Saccharomyces cerevisiae S288C: one gene and its partners. The gene in region 3 interacts genetically with the main gene of each other region. Each region holds a gene or a part of one and is shown on either strand. Other genes may lie near its edges. The genes, in order: AZF1, PRP21 and GPP1.

Region 1 (5,268 bases), on a different chromosome or scaffold from region 3:
TAAGCTTATCATATGTGCAGACACAATTATTATAGATAAGAGTGGGAGAATCTACGAGAAGCCTAAAACAAAAGAGGTCCAAAAGAAGTTTTTAATGAAGTTTTGCTATGAAGATGATGAACCAGTTAACGTTGTCACCGCTGTGACTTTAATTAAATGGTACGGCAGAGAAAACTTTGAATTGGTACCATTCCGAGATGAAACCAAGGTATACTTTGATAACAAAATACCTTTGAGAATATTGGAAGAATATGTAGAAAGCGGAGATGGGCTGGAGGTTGGCGGTGGATTTAAAATACAAGGGCAAGGTGCTATTCTAATTGAAAAAATTGAAGGTGATTACTATAACGTAGTTGGTTTACCGCTCAATAAAACGTTCAAAGGACTCTATGCTGAGGCTAATTCCATATAACCTTCGTTTAGGTTTTCTTTGGTGTTGCTCAGTTAACTATGTTAATCTTTGCAACACCAGAAGAATGAGTGGAACGGATATTAAAGGCCACATTGGTGAATAGATACATGCGCTAAATAACACGGCTATTAACATTCTACGAGACAGTTTTTCGATTGATGGTAAAGAAAGTTTAAAGCAATACGCATTTTGAATTTCACGCTTTCGCGCACATCTTCTATTTTTTTCACCTTCAAAAAGGCCCTTTCTCTTTGTCTGTTTATATTATGATTATATTAAATATAAGTATCTTAAAAACAATAATATCGTCAAGTTATTTAGTCGAGAGTTTGACACTGTTACTATCGTTGCTTTTATTGGTGAACAAGTATCTGTAAGTGATGAATTTTTCCAGCATTTTCAAATCTATTTCGAATTTCCAGTTCCCATACACCATAGAGGAAACTGCAATCACTGAAACCGCCCTTTGGCAATGTTTCGATGGTACAAGGAAGGCAGATTCCTTGCCAGTAACAGTTTTTAAGGCAAAAAGATCTCCAGAAAATGAATCTTTAATTTTAAATGCTGTACACAAGAGCAAAATTTTGAAGATTCCAGGACTTTGTACGGTGCTGGAGACATTTGATTCCGACCCCCAATCCACATTTATTGTTACCGAACGAGTAGTTCCATTTCCTTGGGATAATCTAGGCTCTTTATCTCAAAACAAATTTGGTGTTGAATTAGGAATATCACAATTATTGGCAACTTTAGGATTTTTAAAAAACTTTGTCCTTGGTACGCTTTCTAAAGATTCTGTTTTTATCAATATTAAGGGAGAGTGGGTACTATTTGGGCTAGAACTTTGTTCAAGCAAAGAAGGATTAAGTGCGTTTGAATTTGCCAGTAGAGCGAGGTCATATTACAACATAATTGGCTCACAGTTGCCCTGTGAAGATCCGAATACAATTGATTCAATGGGGTTAGGATTGTTGATAAAGAGCCTTATGGCTCCTTCTTGTCTGCCCAAAGATTGGATTGTCAATGTAAATATGATTTCAGATGGAAAGATAACAATCGAAAACTTCAGAAAAAGGCTAGAAAATACAGAAACTTGGCGTTCTAATCCTTTGATAAACTTTTATCAAGAATTGAGGGAGTTGCATATAAAGGACCCACAGGGAAAATTGGTTGTGATGTCAAACTTGGAAAATTTGTATTTAGAGTCAAGAGAGATTTTCCGTAATTTAACGCCTGGAATGATAGAAAATTTTATTATTCCAGAGCTTTGTGAAATTATAAAATTATTAATGACACAAAGCATCAGTAGTGCTGCCAGCCCTATAGGCATGAACTTCAACGCATCACATAAACTAGTACCATTCTTAGCGATTGTTTTAGACCTAACTTCTGAAACGAACACCTTTCCAGTTGGTTTCAACGACCTTATCACCCAAAGTTTTAAACTGCCAGATAGGCAAGTAAGATTTCTTTTACTAATATACCTACCCAAATTAATAGGTCCATTGAGCAAATCAGAGATCTCCAGTAGGATATATCCACATTTTATCCAAGGTCTGACCGACTCTGATGCCACTCTTAGATTACAAACACTGAAGACAATTCCATGCATTGTGTCATGTTTAACAGAGAGACAACTGAATAATGAGCTACTGAGGTTTCTCGCAAAAACACAGGTTGATTCTGACGTTGAAATCCGAACATGGACAGTCATCATAATAAGTAAAATCTCAACCATATTATCAACGTCAGTTGGTAATCGCTCGAATATTTTAGCTACGGCGTTCACAAAATCTTTGAAAGATCCTCAAGTAAAACCAAGATTGGCTGCTCTTTATGGGCTTGAGAAGTCGATTGAGCTGTTTGATGTGAACACAATCGCCAACAAAATTTTAACAGTCATTGCCCCTGGTTTATTAGATAAAAGTCCCATAGTAAGAGGCAGAGCCAAAATCCTGTTCGAAGAATATCTGGAAAAATTGGAAAAAGAAGCCCAACTTATTCAAACAAACGATAGTACTGCAGATTCGGAAGATGTGAAAGATATTGATTTTGAGAATTACGGTTGTGATGAAGAGGATATGAATAAAGAAGACAATTTGTTAGCCGCACAATTTTTAAATAATTTACGTTTAAATTCTCCCTCAGCAACAACACCAAGTAACATTACCGAGAGCGAAATTGATTCCGCCCAGGATGGAAGTGGATGGGACGACCTCAGCGATACCGATGGCTTTATTACAAATGGTACCACAGAATCCTTCGATGAAACAACAAACCCTGTAACAACCGCAAGCACCCCAAAATTATTCGGAAAACCTATTAAAATTAATAAAAGTTGGAATGATGAGTTGAATGATGATGGCTGGATTCAAGATGAAAGCGGCCCATCAAAGGTGCCTCAAAAACACACAAGGCCACAAAATTCAACGTTGGCAAAATCCATCGCTCCTAGCTCAAGGCTTTCTATCAAGAAGAAGAAAACAACGATCCTAGCACCAAGAAACATTGCTAGTAACTCTACTGTTACCACCAAATCGTCACTGTCCAATAAAACTGCAAGAAGTAAGCCTATAAGTAGTATCCGCGGCTCGGTAACCAAGAAAGGAAATGTTGACGGCTGGGATGATGATGGGGATTCAGACTCCTGGGATACGAATTGGTGATCCCAAGACTTATATAGCCCTACGTATTGTAGAAGGATATATTCAGTGTTAATCGTTATTTAGAAACATTACGCCCGTGCCCCGCGATTTCGCTTCTTTGAGAAGTGGAGGAAAAGAAGGGTCCCTTTAATTCCAGTAGAAATGAAGCATAAGCAAGAAGAGTCATCAGAAAAGGGAACCTTGTAGTACTATAGATGGTCCCACAGAGAAATTAATTGGGACAAAAACAGCTACACAAGCGATATACTTCAAAAGATTCAGATATTGAAAAATTACCAGCCATGCCTCCTCCAACTGCACAGTTCATGGGCCCTACGCAGGCGGGACAAAATGAAAGCCAAAATCAATCATCAGGCGAAGCTGGGGAGCAAAACCAGGAGCATGGGCAAGGCCCTACTCCTATTCTTAATCAAAGTCAACCGGCTTCTTCTCAACCGCAACATCAACAACAAAGGAATGAGTCGATTTCATATTATACAAATTTCAACCAGCCACGATATTCCACGGACGCCTCTATCAACTCATTCTTGAACATATCTGATAACGTACCAGTAACAAGTACAGGAGGACCTAGTTCTGGCGGCGCCTATTCCAATCTTCCACGATTATCCACTTCAAGTACACATCAACCGCCAGACCTGTCGCAAATCGGACGCGGCTTTTCCATTGTAAACAACCTCTTCCCACAACAACAGCAGCTTCAAAATCAGCATCGGCAACAGCAGCAACAACAACAACAGCAGTCGCACCAGCAGCCTCCCTTCAAGACCCCTTCATTTTCGACGGGATTAACGGGAAGTTCTTCTCAATATCAATTTTTACCAAGAAATGATAATACTTCGCAGCCACCTTCAAAAAGAAACTCTGTTTATCTTGGACCTAATGATGGGCCTGATTTTGAATTTTTCAGTATGCAGCAGTCACAGCAACCGCAGTTCCAGCCTAGCAGTAGAAGAGAATCAAACTCTATGAGACCTCCACTGTTAATACCTGCAGCAACTACTAAAAGCCAGTCCAATGGCACCAATAATAGTGGGAATATGAACACAAATGCAGATTATGAATCATTTTTTAATACTGGTACAAACAACAGTAATTCTAATCAGAACCCGTACTTTTTGAGTTCAAGAAATAATTCTTTGAAGTTTAATCCTGAAGATTTCGATTTTCAATTCAAAAGGCGGAATTCTTTTGTTAGAGGTACTTTGGACCATAGCAGCCAAAATGCGTTTATACCTGAATCAAGATTAAACTCACTATCCGTTAACAACAAAGCTAATGGTGATCCTGTCGCGGATAATGTTACCAATAACATGAAAGGAAAAAGTAATGAAGTTGACAATGATGATGGCAATGACAGTAGCAATAACAATAACAACAACAACAACAACAACAACAATGAAAACAACAATGACAACAATAATGATAATAACGACAATAGTATTAATTCCGCCACCAGTACTAATATCCCAAACCAAGAGGACCATAGCCTTGCTTCTACCGATACCACAAGCAATAGTAGGAAAGATCTAAAAGAAATAGAACAAAGACTTCGAAAACATTTGAATGATGAGGATAATTACTCTAGTGCTATATCAAGACCATTGGATAAAAACGACGTAATTGAAGGCAGTGAGGGATTGAACAAACATATAGACGAGTCTGGTATGCAACCTAATATTATCAAGAAAAGGAAAAAGGATGATTCTACTGTGTACGTCAAGAATGAGATGCCCCGTACTGATCCCCCGATGAGTAAAGACAATTCTACTTCTGCTGAAGGAGCAGCAATGGCAAACTTTTCTGGTAAAGAACCTCCTATACCTGACATAAGTTCAGTAAGTGATGATGCTACTAACCTGATAGGTGCAACAAAGGTCGACCAACTAATGTTGATTATTCAAGCAAGAAAGAAAGGTTTCACGGAGAAAGTAAATACCACTCAAGATGGAGACTTACTGTTTAACCAAACGATGGACATTTTACCACCTAAAAGCGAACTAGTAGGTGGTGTGGAGAAACCAAAAGGCACACAAAATACACGAGCAGTTAAAAAACATGAATGTCCCTATTGTCATCGGCTTTTTTCGCAAGCGACTCATCTGGAGGTTCACGTTCGTTCTCATATAGGGTACAAACCATTCGTTTGTGATTATTGTGGCAAACGTTTTACTCAGGGTGGGAACTTAA
Region 2 (11,004 bases), on a different chromosome or scaffold from region 3:
CAAAGAGATATGGAATTCAATTCTGGGGCCCAGGTTCTGGTATCATTCACCAGATTGTTTTGGAAAATTTCTCAGCTCCAGGTCTAATGATGCTAGGTACTGATTCCCATACACCAAATGCAGGCGGTCTGGGAGCTATTGCCATCGGGGTTGGTGGTGCGGATGCAGTTGATGCCCTCACAGGCACTCCATGGGAATTAAAAGCACCAAAAATTTTAGGTGTTAAATTGACCGGAAAGTTAAACGGATGGTCCACTCCTAAAGATGTAATCACAAAGCTCGCTGGTTTACTAACTGTCAGAGGTGGTACTGGTTATATCGTCGAGTACTTCGGCGAAGGTGTATCCACTCTATCTTGCACAGGTATGGCAACCATCTGTAATATGGGAGCTGAAATCGGTGCTACAACGTCAACTTTCCCTTACCAAGAAGCTCACAAGCGTTATTTGCAAGCAACTAATAGAGCAGAGGTCGCTGAAGCAGCTGATGTTGCTTTAAACAAGTTTAACTTCTTAAGAGCCGACAAAGATGCTCAATACGATAAAGTTATTGAAATTGACTTATCCGCAATTGAACCTCACGTTAATGGTCCATTTACACCAGACCTTTCAACCCCAATATCTCAATATGCCGAAAAAAGTTTGAAGGAAAACTGGCCCCAAAAAGTTAGCGCTGGTTTGATTGGATCATGTACCAATTCATCTTATCAAGACATGAGTCGTGTTGTCGACTTGGTCAAGCAAGCTTCCAAAGCCGGCTTGAAACCACGTATCCCCTTCTTTGTCACCCCTGGTTCAGAACAAATTAGAGCTACCTTGGAAAGAGATGGAATCATCGATATTTTCCAAGAAAATGGTGCCAAAGTTTTAGCAAATGCATGCGGCCCTTGTATCGGACAATGGAATAGGGAAGATGTCTCGAAAACATCAAAAGAAACGAACACTATTTTTACATCATTCAATAGAAATTTCAGAGCTAGAAACGATGGTAATAGGAATACAATGAATTTCTTAACATCCCCAGAAATAGTAACAGCGATGAGTTATTCTGGAGATGCTCAGTTCAATCCGCTAACTGACTCAATTAAATTGCCAAATGGGAAGGATTTCAAATTCCAACCACCAAAGGGTGATGAGTTACCAAAAAGAGGATTTGAACACGGTAGAGACAAATTTTATCCTGAAATGGATCCAAAGCCAGATAGCAATGTAGAGATTAAGGTAGACCCTAATTCTGATCGTTTGCAATTATTAGAGCCATTCAAACCTTGGAACGGGAAGGAATTGAAGACAAACGTGCTTTTGAAAGTTGAAGGTAAATGTACAACAGATCATATTTCCGCTGCGGGCGTCTGGTTGAAATATAAAGGCCATCTAGAAAACATTTCTTACAATACATTGATTGGTGCACAAAACAAAGAAACCGGTGAAGTCAACAAGGCTTATGACCTTGACGGAACTGAATATGATATTCCTGGTTTGATGATGAAATGGAAATCAGACGGTAGACCATGGACCGTGATAGCGGAACATAACTATGGTGAAGGTTCCGCAAGAGAGCATGCTGCTTTGTCACCAAGATTTTTAGGCGGAGAGATTCTTTTAGTTAAGTCTTTTGCAAGAATTCATGAGACAAACTTGAAGAAACAAGGTGTGTTGCCATTGACTTTTGCCAACGAATCTGACTATGATAAAATATCAAGCGGAGATGTTTTAGAAACGTTGAACCTAGTTGACATGATTGCTAAGGATGGTAATAACGGTGGTGAAATTGATGTTAAAATTACTAAACCAAACGGTGAATCGTTCACCATCAAGGCAAAACATACTATGTCTAAAGATCAAATCGATTTTTTCAAAGCTGGTTCAGCAATCAATTATATTGGTAATATACGAAGAAACGAATAAATTCTGAAGAGATATTAGCTAAAAATTAAGAGTCCGATTTAATAGTCATAAGCTAGTTTACACAATTCTATAGACTCTGCATATAGACGGTGCAAATAACCTACCTATTTATTTATTTATTTACTATAAAAAACGTAATATTGTTTGATATATAATATTATACACGAGATCTCGACTGCTTCAACTACGGCTTAACTCAAGGGTGGGGGGTATTTTGTTGTCGTATATGCAATATGTATGTGTTAAAAAGATACAATTATGTAAGTTACCACCTTTGTTTCATTTCATTCATTACTTGTAAACCTTGTAAACGTTCTTCGTACAATGCAGCTAGCCTGCTAACCTTGTTGCTTGCTTTAATATCTGAATATCCCTTTTGAGAGAATTTATCTGCTGTCTTTGAAGTAGTTTCATTTTTCTTCTTCTTTTCTTGTAGTTCTTTGTCGAACTTCTTAATCTTCGCGTTTTGGACGAGGGTTAAACTTTCAAACTGTTGTACGAATATATCTGTTTCCACAGAATTTTTATCCTTTGCTGGCTCGTCCTTAACCATTTCTTTGATATTATCTGATATCGTTAAATCGGTGCTGCTGTTACTCAATGGAAGCGAGTCTGCTGATGGAGTCTTCGTCGGTGAGGATAATGTATCTGTAGAAGAAGAAGCTAATGCCAAATCTGTATTAGAATTGGAAGTTAGAGACAGTTGTGGTCGTGTAACTGCCTTAATAGGAAGTGGAGGTTTGGCATTGAATGATGGGGATGAAACATTTCTGCTTGAAGACTTAGGTTTCAAGACTGGTGTATTTTGTAATGCGACAGGTGTGTACGTTGGAGACGTAACAGATCTTTGTGGACTAGGGCTTCGACTTCTAGGAAGGGTTAAGCAGCCTAGTTCACTGTATCTGGTTGGCGACGACTTCCTTGGCTTAGGCAAAACAGGGATAGTAGAAGACGATGATACGGATGAAGGAGGTGATGATATTTCCTTCGCGATTTCGGGGAAAAAGTCCAGTAAATTTTTAATATATCTCGACCCAATAGCTAAACGATCATTAGTCATCATGGAAAGTTTTTCCTTACATAACGCCGGAGTTAAAGCTTTACTTAGGGTCCTTGAATCATGTTTAGTCGATTCACCATGCGCTATGATCCTATTAAAAAAAGGAATTATGACCATAAAGAGGTCCTGGTATTGGTTGAATTTAATAATTTTGCGGAATGTTTCACTTGTGAACTTTAGATCATCAACAATTGGTAACGGAATTAATTCAATTGGGATTAGAGGTTTGGCTTTATTCTTAATGAAGTAATTCAACCACACGGATGCCAAAGAATAAATATCCCATTGAGATAAATCAATGTAGTTGTTTCTTTTGATAATATCCAAAAAAATGTTTACCTTTTTATAGTTTCCCGGCTTCTGGAATATCAATTCACACAACAGAGCGTCATTCTGTAATTTCTTGAAAATTTTATCGAATACTAACTGCCTATACTGTCTTATTGCCAGAGGGGTCAATCTGTTATAATATTCCTCCGGGACATTTATATGTTCGCGTATCTGGTAATCATATAAGTACACGTTCAACGATATTCTAAGTCGCGTAATATCTATTAGCTCGGATAAAGAAGTCAGGTCCAAGACATGAACTAAACTTGGAAAATCATGCTGACTATCTTTTGAGTCCAAGAAGTTAAAGTTCATAGCGTTTGAAATTACTTGATAGACCGACCTAACGAAGAATGACTCATGAACAATAAAAATCTTTTGTAAATAGAACTTGGTCTCTTTGGGTAACTTTGCAAACATTTTAATACCGTAAACCCAGCTTATTTTTCTCTGGGAAAACCCAGATGAAAAAATCACCAGTGAATATGGTGCCTGTGGCAATTTCATTACCAATCGATCCATGAGGGCATTAATAAGCAAGTCATAAACTTGCTTATCGCCAATTTCATCAGATGCTGGCAAATAAGTCGAATCAAAGACATAAATTGCGTGACCAGAGTTAGGATCAACTGAATAAGATCTAAAAAATATGTTATTAACGTTGATATCTATCATCCTGGCCTTCTTTCACGCTACCAATAGTATTATCCAGTAGGGCCATATCCTCGAGAATTTCACTTTCTATATACAAAATAACATCAACATGAAAAAACGCCAAAATACGTACGCCGTTAATAGTGATACATGTGCTCAATTACGGTGCATCATCAACCTTTACATACTTCTAGCTAACTTTGATTTTCATGAGGCTTATTTTTTACTTTTCTTTAACCTTGTCTCTCCCACAGCTCTAATTTTACGCTTTTTGCCCTTACTATCTCCTCCTTTTTGCTTACCTTGGTCGGATACTATCTTTTCTTCTTCATTTGTCGGCTTGATACTATCGAATAACTTAATACCAGTTTGTACTCTTCGCAGCCTCATCTGTTCTAAATCTAGAGAGCCTTCGAAGATTTCTGTGTCTTCAGGGATAGAAAATTTTGCCACTTGAGTAAATTTATCCCATGGAATGGCTGCAAATTGTATTTTGCACAACTCTACGAGCTTATCATGTTCCCGGTCTTTATCTTTCTCAAATTCCCAATACTGTGTTCTCTCAAAACAATTATCTAAAATGGTTCTCTTACTTTTCTTGATTTCTTGACCAGTAAAAGAATATACTCGCTTGTACTGGGCGACAAAATCAGTGAATGTCTTATGTAGCGGATGTGAGCTGTTCATAAAGTTTAATCTGGCTTCACCATCCTTTGAAATCATCTGTTCAACAATACTTTTATCCTTTGCATAGTAGCGTGCTGTCAATTTGATTACTTCCATGTCTCTTCGGGATATTCCAGTATCATATTGAGAGAACAGAAAATCCGGCGGCCTTGCTATCTCTCGCTCACTCTTTCTGTCATTATCTTCACCGCTGACAGTGTCTGTTGGCTCATTCATGAGTTTGGTGTAGTATTCATGGAGTGGGTCATCTTTCTTGATGAATGAGAATCTCTCATCTTCTAGCAGTTTGTTCTCAAACTCAACACCATGCTGCTTTATGTAATTTACTGTGGTTTTAATGTCCTCTTTCAGCTGGGTATCTTCTGGTTCCATTTATACAACTGCAAATTATTGCTGTTAGTTTTACGCTTTACCTTATTTCTTCCTGTATTTAAGTGTTTCAAGGCTAACTTTTGCCGAAATATTTCGTTGAAGGAAGGTTCTTATTTTATCAAAAAATGGTCAACAGACAAACAATAGAAAAACCAAAAGAAAACAAAAGCTTTTGAGGAAATCGGTAAAATGGATGATCTGCTAAAAGTTCCCGAGATTGTAACCAATATTGCCTCATATTTATCTACTGTAGATTATCTGAGTTTTCAACAAGTGAATAAACGGGTTTATGCAATCATTAACGGCAAAAATGATTCAAAGTATTGGTCATTGAAATTGACTAGAATGGGTCTCCAACAGGTGCATTCAAATGAAGAAGAAGAAATTACGTTGCTGGATGAAAATGATAATCAAAATTCCCTTCGCATCTTCGAAATATACAAATCTTTCACTGCTCAAAATTCTAAAAAAATCTTTGTGAAATTTTACCGTTGTTATAACTCATACGCTAGGAAGCTATATAATAATAATCTAGCAAATTTCTTTCCTACTTCATATTCCAACGATCCGTTGAAACAAACAAGAATTCTAAATTTTATCAAAAAGTACAATTTCTCGAATAAAAATGATATAGAAACATTTACTAGGATTGAAACTAATTTCAACATTCTTAGGGAAATCTTCATTAATTCTGTTCTCAAAGAGTCAGAATTGAATTACCAGTCTAATAATTTAGCTGCCGTCGCTCGTTTCATGAAAATTTTATTGATATCTAATGAGGAAAGCAATGCTATCGAATTTTTCAAGTCAAAGGCTGATTTGCCTCCCAGTTTAACGGTTTTGCCGTCTAATGATGAATTATTTTGGGCCGAACAACCAAGGGAAGAGGACAGCGGTGGGAGTACCGTGATATTTAATTCTAAAAATTTAGATACGTTTCTCAATCAGCTAAGGGATTTCCTCAACGAAAAGATTAAATTAGCGGACATTTTATTCAAAGATGAGTTCCCTGTAATATTACAGTTCATCGAGTCCTTTATCCAAGATATTTTATTAGATATTTTAAACAATATCTTATTAAGCTATAGTGAATTTTTAAAAGAAAATGGAAAGGATAGTAAAGCCAATTATGAATGCGTACCCGAACTTTATTTCACATTTATAAAAAAGTTTGATACTGAATTAAACGACTCAGTAAACGCAGGCGCAAATTTCCGTAAAGTTGTTCGTGACCTTTTAAACCTGTATCTCGAGCCCTTTGTTGTCAACTATATGAATCAGACAACTAGAGTATTTGAATCATTGATCAACTCACAATTAGCTAATTATGACACACAAGTTCAAGACAAGCAGCGTGAGCAAAACGCAAAAATTTATAACACTTTAAAAGATCAAACGGATGCTTCGAGTGCAAGTAACAATGAATTGCCGAATGACCTCTCAATAATTACTGAAACCTCCAAAACTGTCCCAGAAGCGGATTCAAAACCAAGTACGATCCATCAATCAGTTCATTCAACTGATATTTCTAATGATAAACTAGACTTTCTAAGTTCCTTCACCAAGATTTTCAAGTTCTCGAACAATGAAAATCAAAGGCTAAAGCAACAACTACAACTAGCCTACAACTTAAATTTAATTTCCAATAACTTGCAAAACATTAAATCGTTAATAAGTCTCGATTTATGTTACAAAATTTTACAGGAAACAAGCGAAAAGACGGATCAAATTTACAAATTTCATACGATTGAAAGTTTGCTACCATTGATCAAGCTACGCTGTCAAGAGATTTTCAAAATTTTAATTACACAATTGAATAAAAATCACGTTAAACCTGCATTTGAAAAGGCAATCCTGCTACTACAAAAATATAATCCTAACGAAATAGAACAAATAGAAATAAAATTCAATTCACTTTCGCCAGCCAATACTCAAGTCGAACCTTTAGTACAATTCACTGAACTTATCAATATAGGTGACATAATATTACAAATGATTTCCATTTTTTACAAGAACGAATTGATTCCCAAAAAAATTATCGATAAAAATAAAGATTTTCTTAATGATGTTATCCAATTAAAAAAAAATTTTGAGACTTCTATCGATGATTTTGTAGCCGAAGGTTTAAATATCGGTATAAACAAACTAATGGATGAAATCTCATTTGTATTCAAGACTCTTCAATTGCCTGACGATTATAATCCACCGCCACCCTCTAGGAATTCTCCAATAAGGGATATAAAGCCAACCAAATGTGCTATCAGGGTAGTCGAGTTACTTTCTAATCATTGCTTTCTACTGACTGGTGCCACAGACAAGGGTACTATTGACGTGTACCAACAAGAAATTGGCGAGAGATTCTTTAATGAAATCGTCAAACATCTGAAGAAGTGCTTCATATCTACGGAGGGCGCAATTTGGTTAATCTGCGATTTAAATTACTTTTACGATTTTATTGCTAACAAATTAAAACAAAAAAATGTTGTTCCCTATTTTGTTGGGCTTAAGTCTATTGGCCAGTTATACATCATTTCAGGCAAGGACTCGAAAGAGTTGGGAAAGCTTATTTCTGATCTTGGGAAATTCAATGGCATTTTTACGCAAGAGGAAATTTATGAATTTGTTCAGAGGAGAAGCGATTGGGTTCGTGTACGGAAAGACGTTGAAAAGGTAATGTACGGCCTAGGCATACGAGATTGCTGCATTATGTAAATTCCTATCAATGATTAATTATATTACTCTATATAGGTATGAAGTGCGGAAATAAAAGACTGTTCACATATTAGATTATTCAAGATTACGCGGGCTCTATTTTTCCCTGTTAGCCACACGCACACAAGGGGCATACAAATGTTCACTCCATTTATAAGAGGATTCCACACAAGATCATCGATAACATGGTTCAGTACGCTCCCTTTCTATTAGGAAAGTATGTTCATTCTTCATACGCTATTCTATTTTTTTTTTTTTCACACTTATTCTTTTACTAACGCATAGTTAACCATTTGCTGTTTCGAAGAGGCAACATCAAACAAGTCGATGTGCTCTTTCCCAAGCTGGTCTCTATTGCAGATTTTCTGATCCGTTATTGGCAATTATGGTAGGCTGTCTCAGCTACTATGTGTACGAAAGGAAAATGGGGCGTCCACAAGGTCATCATTTACACGAGCTCATAAAGAAGCGATGGGACGATCGCAAATAATAATCCGGCGTGAGGGGAGTATATATAAGTTTCTGGCGATATGTAAATACCATAATAATTAATCCTAGGATCTACCTTTATACGCATTTATCCTATAAAAACCCAATCTTTCAGATCCACAGTATTTTTATATGTGTGATTTCCTTGATTGTCTCAATTTAAAGAGTAATACATACAACTTAGACCAAAGAATTATTCAATAGATGACGCCGAAAGAATCTGGAAAGCCTATTTCGTGTGCAATGAAGAAGTTGAAAGGCAAGAGATCTAAGATTTTGGTTTTATCTAGAGATGCGGGCACCAACGAATTGAAGCCAACGAAAGGAAGAGCACATCGAGCTTGCATAGCTTGCAGAAAGAGGAAAGTACGATGTAGTGGTAATATACCATGTAGACTTTGCCAGACTAATAGTTACGAATGCAAATATGATCGCCCCCCACGGAACTCATCGGTATTTGATAGGGAAGTAAGCGATGATAGTTCCTTATATGCACAGAGAGCTTCCCACGAACGGGAAGATAGCAAGGGCCCTATAAGTTCCATTGATTACAAAAAGGTTGTAGAGACGATCTTTCCACCTGAAACACTCCGTCAAATACTTGCTTCTTCTTCTTTTAACAGCCAGAATTTTTTGGACACTATTAAAACGTGTCTACTTCAAGGACAATTAAATGTTAATCAGGTAATACGTCAAAGTCTACCAAAAGATACGCCTTGGCACATGCAAACAAGTGTTCCATTACCACCCAGAGAGATTGCCTTGAAATTTATTCAAAAGACCTGGGATTGTGCCTGTGTGCTATTTAGGTTCTATCACAGACCTACTATCATTTCTATCTTGGACTCGATATACGAAGCAGAAAAACATGGCAAGCAATATACTCCAGAACAAGTGAAAACACAACCTTTAATTTATTCTGTTTTAGCAGTCGGAGCCCTTTTTTCTAAGGAAGATCTCAGCAAGGATAGTAAAGCAACTAGGGAATTTTACACTGATGAAGGCTACAGATACTTTTTAGAGGCCAAAAACTCTTTGGACTTTTCTAATATTACTGACATCTATTCCATTCAAGCTATATTTATGATGACGATCTTTTTGCAATGTTCAGCAAACTTGAAGGCTTGCTATTCGTTCATTGGTATCGCTCTGCGTGCTGCGTTAAAGGAAGGTTTACACAGGCGGTCTTCCATAGTTGGTCCTACTCCGATTCAGGATGAGACAAAAAAAAGGCTCTTTTGGTCTGTGTACAAACTAGATCTGTACATGAATTGTATTCTTGGTTTTCCAAGCGGTATCGACGAATCTGATATCGACCAAGAGTTTCCTCTAGACGTCGACGATGAAAATATATCTACTATTGGAATAAAGTTTCAAGATTGGCGAACGATAAGTTCCTGTGGAATGAATAATAAGCATACAAAGCTTATTTTAATCATGTCTCGGATCTACAAGCTAATGTACTCTTTGAGAAGAAAACCATTAGAAGAGGATTCTAGGACGCAGATTGTATCGTTGAACGATCAATTAGATAATTGGTATGCCCAATTACCAGATATTTTGAAGGTTGACACAATACGGTATCGTCAAACGCAACCACCTCTAACTGTTTCCGCAAATGATACTAGTTCTCCATACACTAAACCTAAGAAATTATTATATCTGGACTTCCTTCTATCCAAAATCGTACTCTATAAACCATTCTACCACTATATTTCTATAGACCCGTTAGATATCCCAGAGTTCCAATTTCAAATTCACATGGCGGAAAACTGTATTGAAGTTGCCAAAAAAGTTATTCAATTATCTTATGAAATGATTACGCAAAACCTTTTGAGTGGTAGCTACTGGTTTTCCATTCATACAATCTTTTTTAGTGTTGCTTGCCTCAAATTTTATGTCTACCAAACAGAAAAGGGCCTGATACGAAATGGGAAGGTTGATTCGGATATTCATAACGCTACGCAGCTTGGCAGTGAAATATTATCACTTTTGAAGGGTGCTTCAAATGCGAGTAAACGTACTTTTGAAGTATTGAACCAATTGTTCAAAGAGTTTAACGAGAAGACCTCTGTATTATCTGAACAACTTTTGAATATAGTTAAATTGCAACGGCAAGAAAGTAGTGGAGCTTTAGTGCCCCAGTTGCAGACAAATAATAATTTTACGAAGTGCCAAGGAGAATTACATCATGGACAGCAGCATCACCAAACTCCAGCCACGAGTCTTCGTTCCATTCTGAATCTTCCACAAGGGGAAGCTGATCTAAAGTTTCAGAATACCAATAATGAGAGCCATACAACGACAGCTGCACAAGAAGAATACTTAGATAAACTTCTAGCAGAATTTGAGGAATTTGACTACTCAATTAACAGAGTATTACCTGATGTCATCGATTTTTCAGCACTAATTGGCCAAGATTCTTCTGCCAACAATCAAATATTTTCCTCAGAATTCAGCTCTGACCCAACAGTAAATTGAACCTTTAAACTCGCGACTTCTTTATATCTGTATATTCTTCTACATCCTTCTTTTTATGTATTATTATTTTATCTGCTTCCTCACACCACATAGTGGCATACCGTGTGTGGCCGTTTTTTTTTTCATCGCCATATTGAAACAGTGATTTGTTATTATTCAATTGAAATAATAGTTATTAGGTTTAAAAAAAACTAAAAGATAAAATAAATAGCCCAGGCCACGAAAATGGCAAACCGATCCCTCAAGAAAGTGATAGAAACATCATCAAACAATGGTCACGATTTATTAACTTGGATAACCACCAATTTGGAA
Region 3 (10,935 bases):
GCCGGGGATAAGAGGCCGTGCTAATTTCCGCGGAACATCGGAATGCAGTGGACAAGTGCCCTGAGAACAAGCGGCGGGCGGGTAGCTGCCACGGAATAGGCGCCACGTTTCCGTGGGTGACTATGACTTTTGATCGATTCCATGTTGTTTTGCCCTGAATTCTGCGCCCCTCGGAGAAGTTTCTTTTCTTTTTTATCTCTTTTTCATCTCTGACCTTCGTTTCCTTTCATATAGACTACGCAGCAGAATCATGGCAGGAGCTATTAGCTGAGTGGGCAGATTACGTTTGCGCACTGTGCATTGTGACAGATTATATTTGCTTCGCTTCTCCCTCTTACTTCTTCAGCATAAGTGTAAGCCATATGTTCCCTGAAATCTTTCTACCGTCGTCTTCTCTTTTTTTTTTTTTTACTATAAATCAATGTGCTCTCTTCCATGATTCTTGCCTTTTGGATCTTCGGTACTTGTGTGGGTGAGAATGGTGTTATTGAGTCAATTCAGGTCAGCTTGGTTCAGTTCTAATCTAGCCCTTTCCCTACTATACAAATACTACTAGCCTTTTTTTTTCTCTCTCTTTCTCTATACCACTACCTCTTCCTCTTCCTTTTTTTTCTCTTCTTTTTCTATTGTCCCCATCGCATCTTAGCATAAACGCATCCGCATTCCCTTCCTACATTTTTCTTTTCTACTAGTTATAGCTTTAAAACCTTCTTTATTCTCTTTCTACCTATTCTTCTTCGTTGCTTATATCCTATACACATATGAACGGTCCTCCAACATTCACTCAATATAGAATAAATAAGTTTTCTGGGAATGGAGCAACTCATAAGATTAGAGAATTACTCAATTTTAATGATGAAAAGAAATGGAAACAGTTTTCGAGCAGAAGGCTGGAGCTGATAGACAAATTCCAACTAAGTCAATATAAGGCAAGCGAACAAGATCAAAACATAAAGCAGATTGCTACAATATTAAGAACGGAGTTTGGATACCCTGTAAGCTGCTCTAAGGAATTCGAAAAGTTAGTCACTGCTGCTGTGCAATCAGTGAGAAGGAATAGAAAACGATCAAAAAAACGCTACGCTCTCAGCATAGCCAATGGCAGTGGCGGCAATGTCAACAACAGCATCTCGTCAAATTCTACTTCTGACGACGAGATCTCTCCGTCGATCTACCAGCGCTCCAATTCGGACTTCCTGCCTAGTTCTAATTATGCTGCAGATTTCCAGTTTTCAAACAAGTTCCAGCCTCTCATGAGTCACCAGAGTCATAACGGAACCATTTTTCCAACCGTGGGCACCCAAAATGACTCATCTCCATCGGTTACTTCGACCCAACAAAAGTATAACGATATAGTCACCATGCTAGTGCACGATCTTGTTACGAATGTCGTACCCCTATCAGAACAAGCTCTCAAGGACCCATATACTGGGCCAAACCTGTCACATTTTGCTACGTCTTCACTCAGCCAGCAACCTAACATTACCACAAACATCCCGATAGATTCTACCGTGCCATTTTTCCTGAGGGAAAAGTTACTCCTACAAATCCAAAGATCAAGAACTTGTCAGGACATTTCGCAGGCTGCAGGATCCATTGATATATACGCAAATCTGGAGATTTTGGGTGAAATGTCAATCCGAATGTCTATTGCATTCGTTATCGAACGATTTTTCTCCAACTTGGTCTCTTCTTCAATGAAGTATATCACTGCCAAGACGTGCTCTCCTGAAAATCTGGCTTTGTTGTCTCAAAGACTGTTCGGTGCCGCTACAAGACATAACTTATCTCATTTCCCCGCGGCTCAGGTACAACTAAGGCTACTGTATTTGGTCATAGGTGGTATTGTCAAGGATTTTGGCTTCGACCCCACGCTTTACCCTTTAAGTGAAATCATACATCATATTGTGATGGTTCAGTATCCTTTGGCTAGTTCCTGTGCGTCAGAACCACCATCATCTTCACCTAACAAGAGGGTTAAGAGAAGCCCTCCTGTCGTTTCAAGTGACGTTATGTTGAATAATAATAACACTCTATCGAATAGAGCTACACTTTTAACTACGCTACCAATGAAGCCTCAATCGGCCAATAAAGATGTTAATCGCAGAGTGATCATTAGATTTAATGATCGCGAGCAAGCCTTTACTTTCCACCAGTTGAGCAATGGACCACCCACGGTGTCTGAAGTTTTGGAAAACTGTAAAAATTTATTTAATATTATCAACAAGAACAAGAATTTTGGTATTTTCCATAACGATAACCTCTTGAACGATGAAAGTTTGGCAAAGTTATTTGATTCCTTTTCCACGAGCGAGATTCATCTCGTAATTAAGGACATTTCCACCATTCCACTACAAGATGCAAAAATACCAGTGCCCATTACGTTGCCCAAAATGTCATGCATAGGTGAAAACCCCTCTATGCCTTCTATTCCATTGGTACCACAAGAAAAAGATGATCCAAAAAAATCAAGCTTAACTGCCTTTGATAACATCCTTAATAGGATCTCTAAATCGCCAATGAATGAAGAAAATAGCAACACTACTTTAAACACTGGCACCTCCACCTCCAACACAAATAATAATGACCACAACGAGTCTGTGCCAGCGCCATACGTTACAAAGAACAAAAATTCTTTTCAAAATGGCAATTTACCACAGCCGGTTTTCCAGCCTTTACTTTGATAAAAATACAAAACAAAATTGTCTACATACATAACTGCCTAATACACATTCTACACAATATTTTTTTCTTTTTCAATTCGCGTACATATTTATGTAAGATAAAATAATAATATCCTCTTAATCCATGCTTAGAACTGCTGCCGTTGATTTTCAAATTCATCCTCGTCAAATGGTGGCAGTTCCATTACATGAATTTTGTACCCCAGTGAATATTCCTGGTCTTGTAAGGATTCGAACGTCAAATCAGACAGCTCTTTATCGTGGAACCCAACAATGGCATTATACACAATTGTGCTAACTTTAAAGTATTTCGCCTTGCTATCACCTTCGGAGTCAGAGACGTTTCCACTTTGTGCAAAAGTAGTTGGCAAATTTCTATTAAACTCCTCTAATTCATCTTCCGGTAATTCAAACCTCAGTAGAGTTGCTTCTTCATGATCTTCATAAACCCCTACATAGAATTCCCTTGTATTATTGATAGATGTTCGAGGTCCGCCATTTGTGTATGTGCTATTATTTGCACTCCCGTTGGTGTTCTCATTTTCTGATATCTTTAGAGCGTCCATAGATTCATTGAGTAAAGATGCTTCGTTTTGTTGCTGTAGAAACTGTCTTTCCTGTAGTCTTAATAGCTTGGGGCATTTCAGTTTTATAAAATCTTTTAGAACTGTCCATCTTAGCCTTCCAAATTTTTCCAATTGTCCTTTCTCTTTAATTTCAATAACTGTGAACTTCTCTTGGTTCATTAACTCATTGAAATCAGACTCTGATAATTTCTCCAAGAATTCTATAGGTATATAGGGTGGGAAATTTATGATCTTCAGCTGCCACATACCTCTATTCGTCATTTGTTTTCTAAAGCTTTTCTCGTTAAAGATATGCTTTAATCTTTTGTGATTTATTTGAGTTTGTGAAGGTGTAATTGTTCCACCATTCTTTGCTTGGAGGGCACGGTCATCACCATTCGTACTTGTAGTGGGAATATTACCATTATTATTGGAATTTGAGGCCATGTTCAAGTTGTAAAGGGCAGATATTTCGTTATAAGAGGGATTTATCTTATTGTTCCTTAAGGAGAGGTGATGCTGCTGAGAAAGACGAGGGCCTGTGCCAGTATCTGGATTCCTGGGGCTATTATGCATGTATTTTTGAAACTGGCTTTGGTTCTGGTGATAGAAATGCCGACGACGGGGATAGTGTGTAGGGGAAGCAAGTGGACCACCAGCAGTAGCAGCAGCTGTTGGTGAAGGTAGAGTAGTTTGATAGGGCATCTGCATATTAGGTACCGTTCCCGGAGGAGCACCCAACATAGGTAGCATCGAAGTCGAAAATGGACCATGAGGCGGGGGAGCAAGAGGTGGCACACCAACAGGTACGGGAACAGGCGTGGGCAATGGCGTTATGTTCTCATTCTTTCGAAGGCTCACTTCAGGAGAAAAACTGAAAAATTGAGAAGGTGGGGTAGAAGCGGATGGTGGCTGCGGTGTCACAGATGAAACATGGCTTGCATATCGAGGAGAAATAGATCTTTTAGTTTCATCGGGAGCACTCCGGACGTCATTGTTGCTATCACTGATTTCTGGATATCGCAGTGAAGGAGAATCATTAGTGTACGGCAACAGGTAAACGAACAGATCATGATAATCCCATTGGTAGGTGTTCAAAGTAAGTAGTAAGTTTTCCAGGGACTCGTTATCTATCGAGTTCTTCAGAATGACAATGCAACTCTGAAAAGTAATAAAAGGAGGAACCATGGAAGTCATTGGAGGCAGCATTTTCACCTGTAAAATATTGGTATGGTATATGATTCCGCCTATCAAATATTTTACCTGGGCCCAAGTCTTGCCCGGAGGGAGATTATCAATCCTTATGGGAATACCATTTGACTGCGAGTACGTCTTTTTCCTAGGAGCAGCTTTTGTGCTTGCTGTTGAGCTTTCGGTCGCAGAACGGGCAACAAAGGCACTGGCTGAAGCAGCCGACTTGGCACTATAGTGTGGTTCTAGAGTCATTATAAAGCAAGCGTATTGTAAGGAGAGACAGCAAACTCTCGTGTATCAGCCAACTGAACTGGAGGCCAAGACCAATCTAAAAAAAAAAAAAAATGAAAGAAACAAGTGTGGGAGGAAGTCTTGTTAACTTAACAGTTAAGCAAGCGTAAAAACCTTTAGGAAAGCGCACGAAAGAAGGCCAACATTACGACTATGGAATAATACAATGCACACAAACAAAAGGTAACATTTGAAAAATGGAGTAGAGAATATATTCCATTCCCCTAATTTTTTGCGGGTCTTCCAGGGCTGCGAACCCATCGCTCAAAACAAGCGCAGTGTCAATTAAGACATCATTGAACTAAAACGGAAAATTTGCTTGCGCCACACACCCTGGTCAATCGTACCAAGGGATATCACTCTGTACGGGTGGGAGGAAGGCGCGGCAATTAGAATGTGTGGGTGCGGAAGCTCGCCGCTCCCATCAAGAGAGTGGAAGACGTATGGTCTGGGTGCGAAGTACCACCACGTTTCTTTTTCATCTCTTAAGTGGGATTCTTACGAAACACGTCACAGGGTCAAAAGAAAGAGAACAAAAGCAATATTGTAATTGTCTCAGTCCACGGCAATGACATGGCATGGCCCCGAAGGCTTTTTTTGTCTGTCTTCCTTGGGTCTTACCCCGCCACGCGTTAATAGTGAGACAAGCAGGAAATCCGTATCATTTTCTCGCATACACGAACCCGCGTGCGCCTGGTAAATTGCAGGATTCTCATTGTCCGGTTTTCTTTATGGGAATAATCATCATCACCATTATCACTGTTACTCTTGCGATCATCATCATTAACATAATTTTTTTAACGCTGTTTGATGATGGTATGTGCTTTTATTGTTCCTTACTCACCTTTTCCTTTGTGTCTTTTAATTTTGACCATTTTGACCATTTTGACCTTTGATGATGTGTGAGTTCCTCTTTTCTTTTTTTCTTTTCTTTTTTCCTTTTTTTTTCTTTTCTTACTCTGTTAATCACTTTCTTTCCTTTTTGTTCATATTGTCGTCTTGTTCATTTTCGTTCAATTGATAATGTATATAAATCTTTCGTAAGTATCTCTTGATTGCCATTTTTTTCTTTCCAAGTTTCCTTGTTATGAAACGTTTCAATGTTTTAAAATATATCAGAACAACAAAAGCAAATATACAAACCATCGCAATGCCTTTGACCACAAAACCTTTATCTTTGAAAATCAACGCCGCTCTATTCGATGTTGACGGTACCATCATCATCTCTCAACCAGCCATTGCTGCTTTCTGGAGAGATTTCGGTAAAGACAAGCCTTACTTCGATGCCGAACACGTTATTCACATCTCTCACGGTTGGAGAACTTACGATGCCATTGCCAAGTTCGCTCCAGACTTTGCTGATGAAGAATACGTTAACAAGCTAGAAGGTGAAATCCCAGAAAAGTACGGTGAACACTCCATCGAAGTTCCAGGTGCTGTCAAGTTGTGTAATGCTTTGAACGCCTTGCCAAAGGAAAAATGGGCTGTCGCCACCTCTGGTACCCGTGACATGGCCAAGAAATGGTTCGACATTTTGAAGATCAAGAGACCAGAATACTTCATCACCGCCAATGATGTCAAGCAAGGTAAGCCTCACCCAGAACCATACTTAAAGGGTAGAAACGGTTTGGGTTTCCCAATTAATGAACAAGACCCATCCAAATCTAAGGTTGTTGTCTTTGAAGACGCACCAGCTGGTATTGCTGCTGGTAAGGCTGCTGGCTGTAAAATCGTTGGTATTGCTACCACTTTCGATTTGGACTTCTTGAAGGAAAAGGGTTGTGACATCATTGTCAAGAACCACGAATCTATCAGAGTCGGTGAATACAACGCTGAAACCGATGAAGTCGAATTGATCTTTGATGACTACTTATACGCTAAGGATGACTTGTTGAAATGGTAATTTTCTTTTATTTTTTTGATAAAACTACTACGCTAAAAATAAAATAAAAATGTATGATTTCCCTCCATTTCCGACCAATTGTATAATTTTATATCTGCATGACTTAATAATATAATATAATACTTATAAAATACGAATAGAAAAATTTAAACCGATGTAATGCATCCTTTTCTTTGTCGTCTTCGGATGATCTGCCGTGACAGGTGGTTCGCGCAAATCAAGCTGGTTTAGAGAATTTAACACAGAAATAAAAAAGGAAGATTCAATCTTCGTTTTTGTTTTATATCTTACTATAAAAGTGTTTTTTTTTAGTACGACGAGAAGTTAGAGTAATTATAAAAGGAATGCTTATTTAAATTTATTTCTTAGACTTCTTTTCAGACTTCTTAGCAGCCTCAGTTTGTTCCTTAACGACCTTCTTAACAATCTTTTGTTCTTCAATCAAGAAAGCTCTGACGATTCTTTCCTTGACACAGTTGGCACATCTGGAACCACCGTAAGCTCTGGAAACAGTCTTGTGGGTCTTGGAGACAGTAGCGTATTGTCTTGGTCTCAAAGTGGAAATACCTTGTAGAGCACTACCACAGTCACCACACTTTGGTCTAGTAGCCAACTTCTTAACGTGTTGGGCACGCAAGATACCACCTGGGGTCTTAACAACCTTGATTTTGTTAGAACGGGTGTTGTCTGTACGTAGTAAAGAGAAAATTTTCCCATTAATGTTAGTAATCACTTCTTTATTATCCTATGATTTAAGAACTTGAGTGGGATTGCTCCATATGAAAAGTATTTCGGCGTTGCTGAATGAATATTATCTCATTTCAATCTTTCAACAGCGGAGAAAAATTCATTTTCCATTTGGGTCGACCAAGGTCTTCCACTTAGAAACTGAAGTCAACTTATTGCTGTCCACATTACTGGATACTGTTCGTTCATGCTGTCTAATGTTTTAATGTCATGCCAATATATTTGAAAGTTCTTGCATAGTTGATTCCCCTATCGATGATCTGGTTCTTCCTATTTCTAAGTGGTACGCTTCTCTAAATAGCACTCGTTCGCCTTTTAACCTCATTTTCCCACAATGAAAGTTCAAAATAAGTTCATAATAAGTTCATAATAAGTTTTCATGAAAACTCAAAAAAATAGTTCAGTAACATACATGGATTTCTTCTTCTGAAAGTAACACGTTGAGCCATTTTTAGGGTTGTTCGTTGCTAATCTATTCTCAGTTTCAATCAAAGTAAATTGAATCAAAAGAATATAACAAGTGCCAAATACTATGTACTACCCGTTATTTACTACTTACAACTAATAAGTTCATCAACTTTTACGTAGAATGCTATTGAAACATTCCAAACTTACCCACCAGCTGCGATGAAACGGCTCCTGAGAGCCCGTTACCATACCGTCTGAACGGGTGCTGGGGCCACTGACAGGAAGAGGAAGAGTTAGAATTGTTACTGGCTCCTCCCCCAGGCGTCAATTCCATCTCCTCCCAGAAGGACGGTCTCTCTGCCCAAAGGAATGAACTTTCATGGGAAGGGACAAATGAAGCGGACTATTGTCGGAAGCGGGACCTCCGAAAGCAAATGAAAGTAAAAATTCAAAAATTCAAAAAAAAAAAAGCTGAAAGGAAAACACCCAAACAACACACGGTATGTGACGACATCTGTACACCGCAAAGTTGTGACGAAAACACAGTCACAGTTTTTTAGAATTTATGATTAGAGTGTTCAAGAAAATAAGTTCCAACACGTAATAGGTTTCTACCCCTGTCTTGTAACATTGATACAAGTAGAGGGAAACTCCCCTCACATTTTCTACAACGGCAAGAAACTGATTCTGAAACTCCGTAAATTCGTTTCTTTTCTTAGTTAAAATCTTATATACGCTAAAGAATGCTACTAAAATGTTTATAAATGTACACTCCTCGGTATCGCAAGTGGAAAAAAGGCAGTAAAGAAGTTTCAATCCTTCAATTCTTTTCAACAGCGATAACTTCCATTTCTAAATCAACATTCAAAGGTAAGGAAGCAACACCAACACAGGATCTTGCAGGCTTATGGGTGTGGAAGTGTTTGGCGTATACAGAGTTGAATTCGGCAAAGTTTTTCATGTCAGCCAAGAATACGTTGACTTTGACTATATTGTCTAAAGAAGAATTACTTTCTGCTAAGATATTCTTAACGTTTTGAAAAACTTGTTCGGCCTTCTCAGAGATAGAACCTTGAACAGGCTTGTTATCTGGAGTATAAGGGATTTGACCAGACACGTACACAAAATTGTTGGCCTTCATAGCTTGGGAGTAAGAGGCGGCAGCGGGTGGGGCCAACTTGGTGCTGACCGGGGTCAATGTTGTTATACCCCTCCTCAAGACTGGAGCTGTTCTCAAAACGGAATTTCTTAAAAACATTATTGGTAATATATTTGTGTGTATGTGTTGTCCTTTTTACCTGTAAATCTCACACAATTTACTAGCTAACCTAATTCTTATGCATGTGTAAGACCCATTTAGTCATATGTATTTATATATATCAGGGGATCCATACGGTGTGTTTTTCGCTGGATGAGCGACAGAGGCGGAATCGCATCTCCGCAAATGAGAGCGTACACAGGAGCAAAGTGAATAACGTCCTTCAATGATAGAGACTTATCCAATAAGCAGCACTGGTCTTCTAAGATCACCGCCTGTGCACTTTTCTACGGGCTCTTTTAATTGTATAACATGGACAGTGATCATTGCATTTTGCATCCATAGGCATACTATGGCTTAAGGTATTACTATCTATCGCGCCTAATCTCTGGGAGTTTTGAGGCCGGTTTCGGAATCTCGGTATCTTGCGATGGGTCCAAAACGGTGTAAACAAAGCAGGGGATAGCAGCGCAGGCTTCAACATCTCAAACCTTTATATATACAAAAAGTATATCTATATATTCATCTACGGTTCTTAAAATAGTACAACAAAAGTTAACAGACATTAATTACTGTAATCAGACTAAAGCAAACCGAGCTAGAACGAACGACTGCTTACACTAGAGAAAAATATGGAGCTAAGTTCACCATCAAAAAAAACCACAACATCGCCAATAAATATACCAGGGGGGAATAGAGATAACCTAATAATCGGACCACATTCTCACAGCTTCAAGACCGATCCATTTTCAAGTAACAATAGTAGTTTGCTGTCCAAAATATCTACTAACCCCAGTTTGGAAAGCCCTTTCTCTTCGAAATCTTTACTAGATTGTTCTCCTGTACAAGCTGTAAAGAAGTCTTTAGAGTCGGAAGCAAAAACGCATAGCCTGGACGAGGAGACAAATGAACAGACTGATGTAAAGATCTTAAACATAGCAGACTTTCCCACAGATGAACTCATACTAATGATAAGTGCGCTACTCAACAGAATTATAACAGCAAACGATGAAACTACAGATGTCTCACAACAAGTGTCGGATGAGACCGAAGACGAACTCTTAACTCCAATCCTTGCTTTCTATGGAAAGAATGTTCCAGAGATAGCTGTTGTTCAGTACTTAGAGAGAATTCAAAAGTACTGTCCCACCACAAATGATATTTTTCTTTCTCTCCTTGTATATTTCGATAGAATCTCCAAAAATTATGGGCATTCTTCTGAGCGTAATGGTTGCGCAAAGCAATTATTCGTCATGGACTCCGGGAACATTCATAGATTGCTCATAACAGGTGTCACAATTTGCACGAAGTTCTTGAGTGATTTTTTTTACAGTAACTCTCGATACGCCAAGGTTGGAGGTATTTCTTTGCAAGAGTTAAACCATTTAGAATTACAATTCCTGATACTATGTGATTTCAAGTTATTGGTTTCAGTCGAAGAAATGCAGAAATATGCAAACTTGTTATATAAATTCTGGAACGACCAGTAGAATGCTGTCCTGCATATTATTCATGCCCTTCCCTTACCGTTACTCGTATTATACATATCAATTTCTGATTTACGTAACGCGTACATATCGGTTATATTTAAATAATTTAATATTCCTTTTAAATCAGTGGTTTTTCATATTAGTAGCATTTCTCCTGAAATGATAGCTATTGCAATAGAATGAAAAAAAAAACTTTTTGCCCAAATAAATCATAATCTACCGGTAAAGAGAAATTCGGTCCTTGTTCTATTCAGTATTATGCTTTCTCTTTTTTTTCCAAAATGAGAATTAAGGACGTTTCGAAAAAGTAAAAATATACCAAATGTGGAATATAAATAGGTTTATCGGCGGACCGATCTGGCTTAAAACGTAGAATCTACCAGTCCAATGTACT

Evidence for each region.
Region 1: mutations in GPP1 (region 3) and AZF1 together harm fitness more than expected from each alone (negative genetic interaction), as found in Saccharomyces cerevisiae (2 studies listed by BioGRID).
Region 2: mutations in GPP1 (region 3) and PRP21 together harm fitness more than expected from each alone (negative genetic interaction), as found in Saccharomyces cerevisiae (2 studies listed by BioGRID).

The regions. Positions count from the first base shown.
Region 1 is NC_001147.6:530,716-535,983, forward strand, and holds the start of AZF1 (Azf1p), read left to right. Parts: upstream 1-3,359; coding exon 3,360-5,268. Other genes in the region: YOR111W (nucleotide diphosphatase), read left to right, coding at 1-412; COPI-interacting protein CEX1, read left to right, coding at 793-3,078. UniProt on the Saccharomyces cerevisiae protein: Transcription factor involved in the diauxic shift. In the presence of glucose, activates carbon and energy metabolism genes, and in te presence of glycerol-lactate, activates genes needed for cell wall maintenance.
Region 2 is NC_001142.9:47,347-58,350, reverse strand, and holds PRP21 (Prp21p), read right to left. Parts: upstream 5,011-11,004; coding exon 4,168-5,010; downstream 1-4,167. Other genes in the region: aconitate hydratase ACO2, read left to right, coding at 1-1,907; ECM25 (Ecm25p), read right to left, coding at 2,173-3,972; RCY1 (Rcy1p), read left to right, coding at 5,200-7,722; NCE101 (Nce101p), read left to right, coding at 7,908-7,939, 8,083-8,212; YJL206C (uncharacterized protein), read left to right, coding at 8,416-10,692; AP-1 complex accessory protein LAA1, read left to right, coding at 10,918-11,004. UniProt on the Saccharomyces cerevisiae protein: mRNA splicing factors, PRP9, PRP11, and PRP21, are necessary for binding of the U2 snRNP to the pre-mRNA in an early step of spliceosome assembly.
Region 3 is NC_001141.2:249,230-260,164, forward strand, and holds GPP1 (glycerol-1-phosphatase GPP1), read left to right. Parts: upstream 1-5,885; coding exon 5,886-6,638; downstream 6,639-10,935. Other genes in the region: VHR1 (Vhr1p), read left to right, coding at 762-2,684; YIL055C (uncharacterized protein), read right to left, coding at 2,813-4,696; YIL054W (uncharacterized protein), read left to right, coding at 5,314-5,631; 60S ribosomal protein eL34 RPL34B, read right to left, coding at 6,997-7,325, 7,798-7,834; isoleucine biosynthesis protein MMF1, read right to left, coding at 8,614-9,051; PCL7 (Pcl7p), read left to right, coding at 9,684-10,541; DFG10 (putative polyprenol reductase), read left to right, coding at 10,929-10,935. UniProt on the Saccharomyces cerevisiae protein: Major isoform of glycerol-1-phosphate phosphohydrolase involved in glycerol biosynthesis. Plays a role in osmoadaptation and required for adaptation to anaerobic conditions.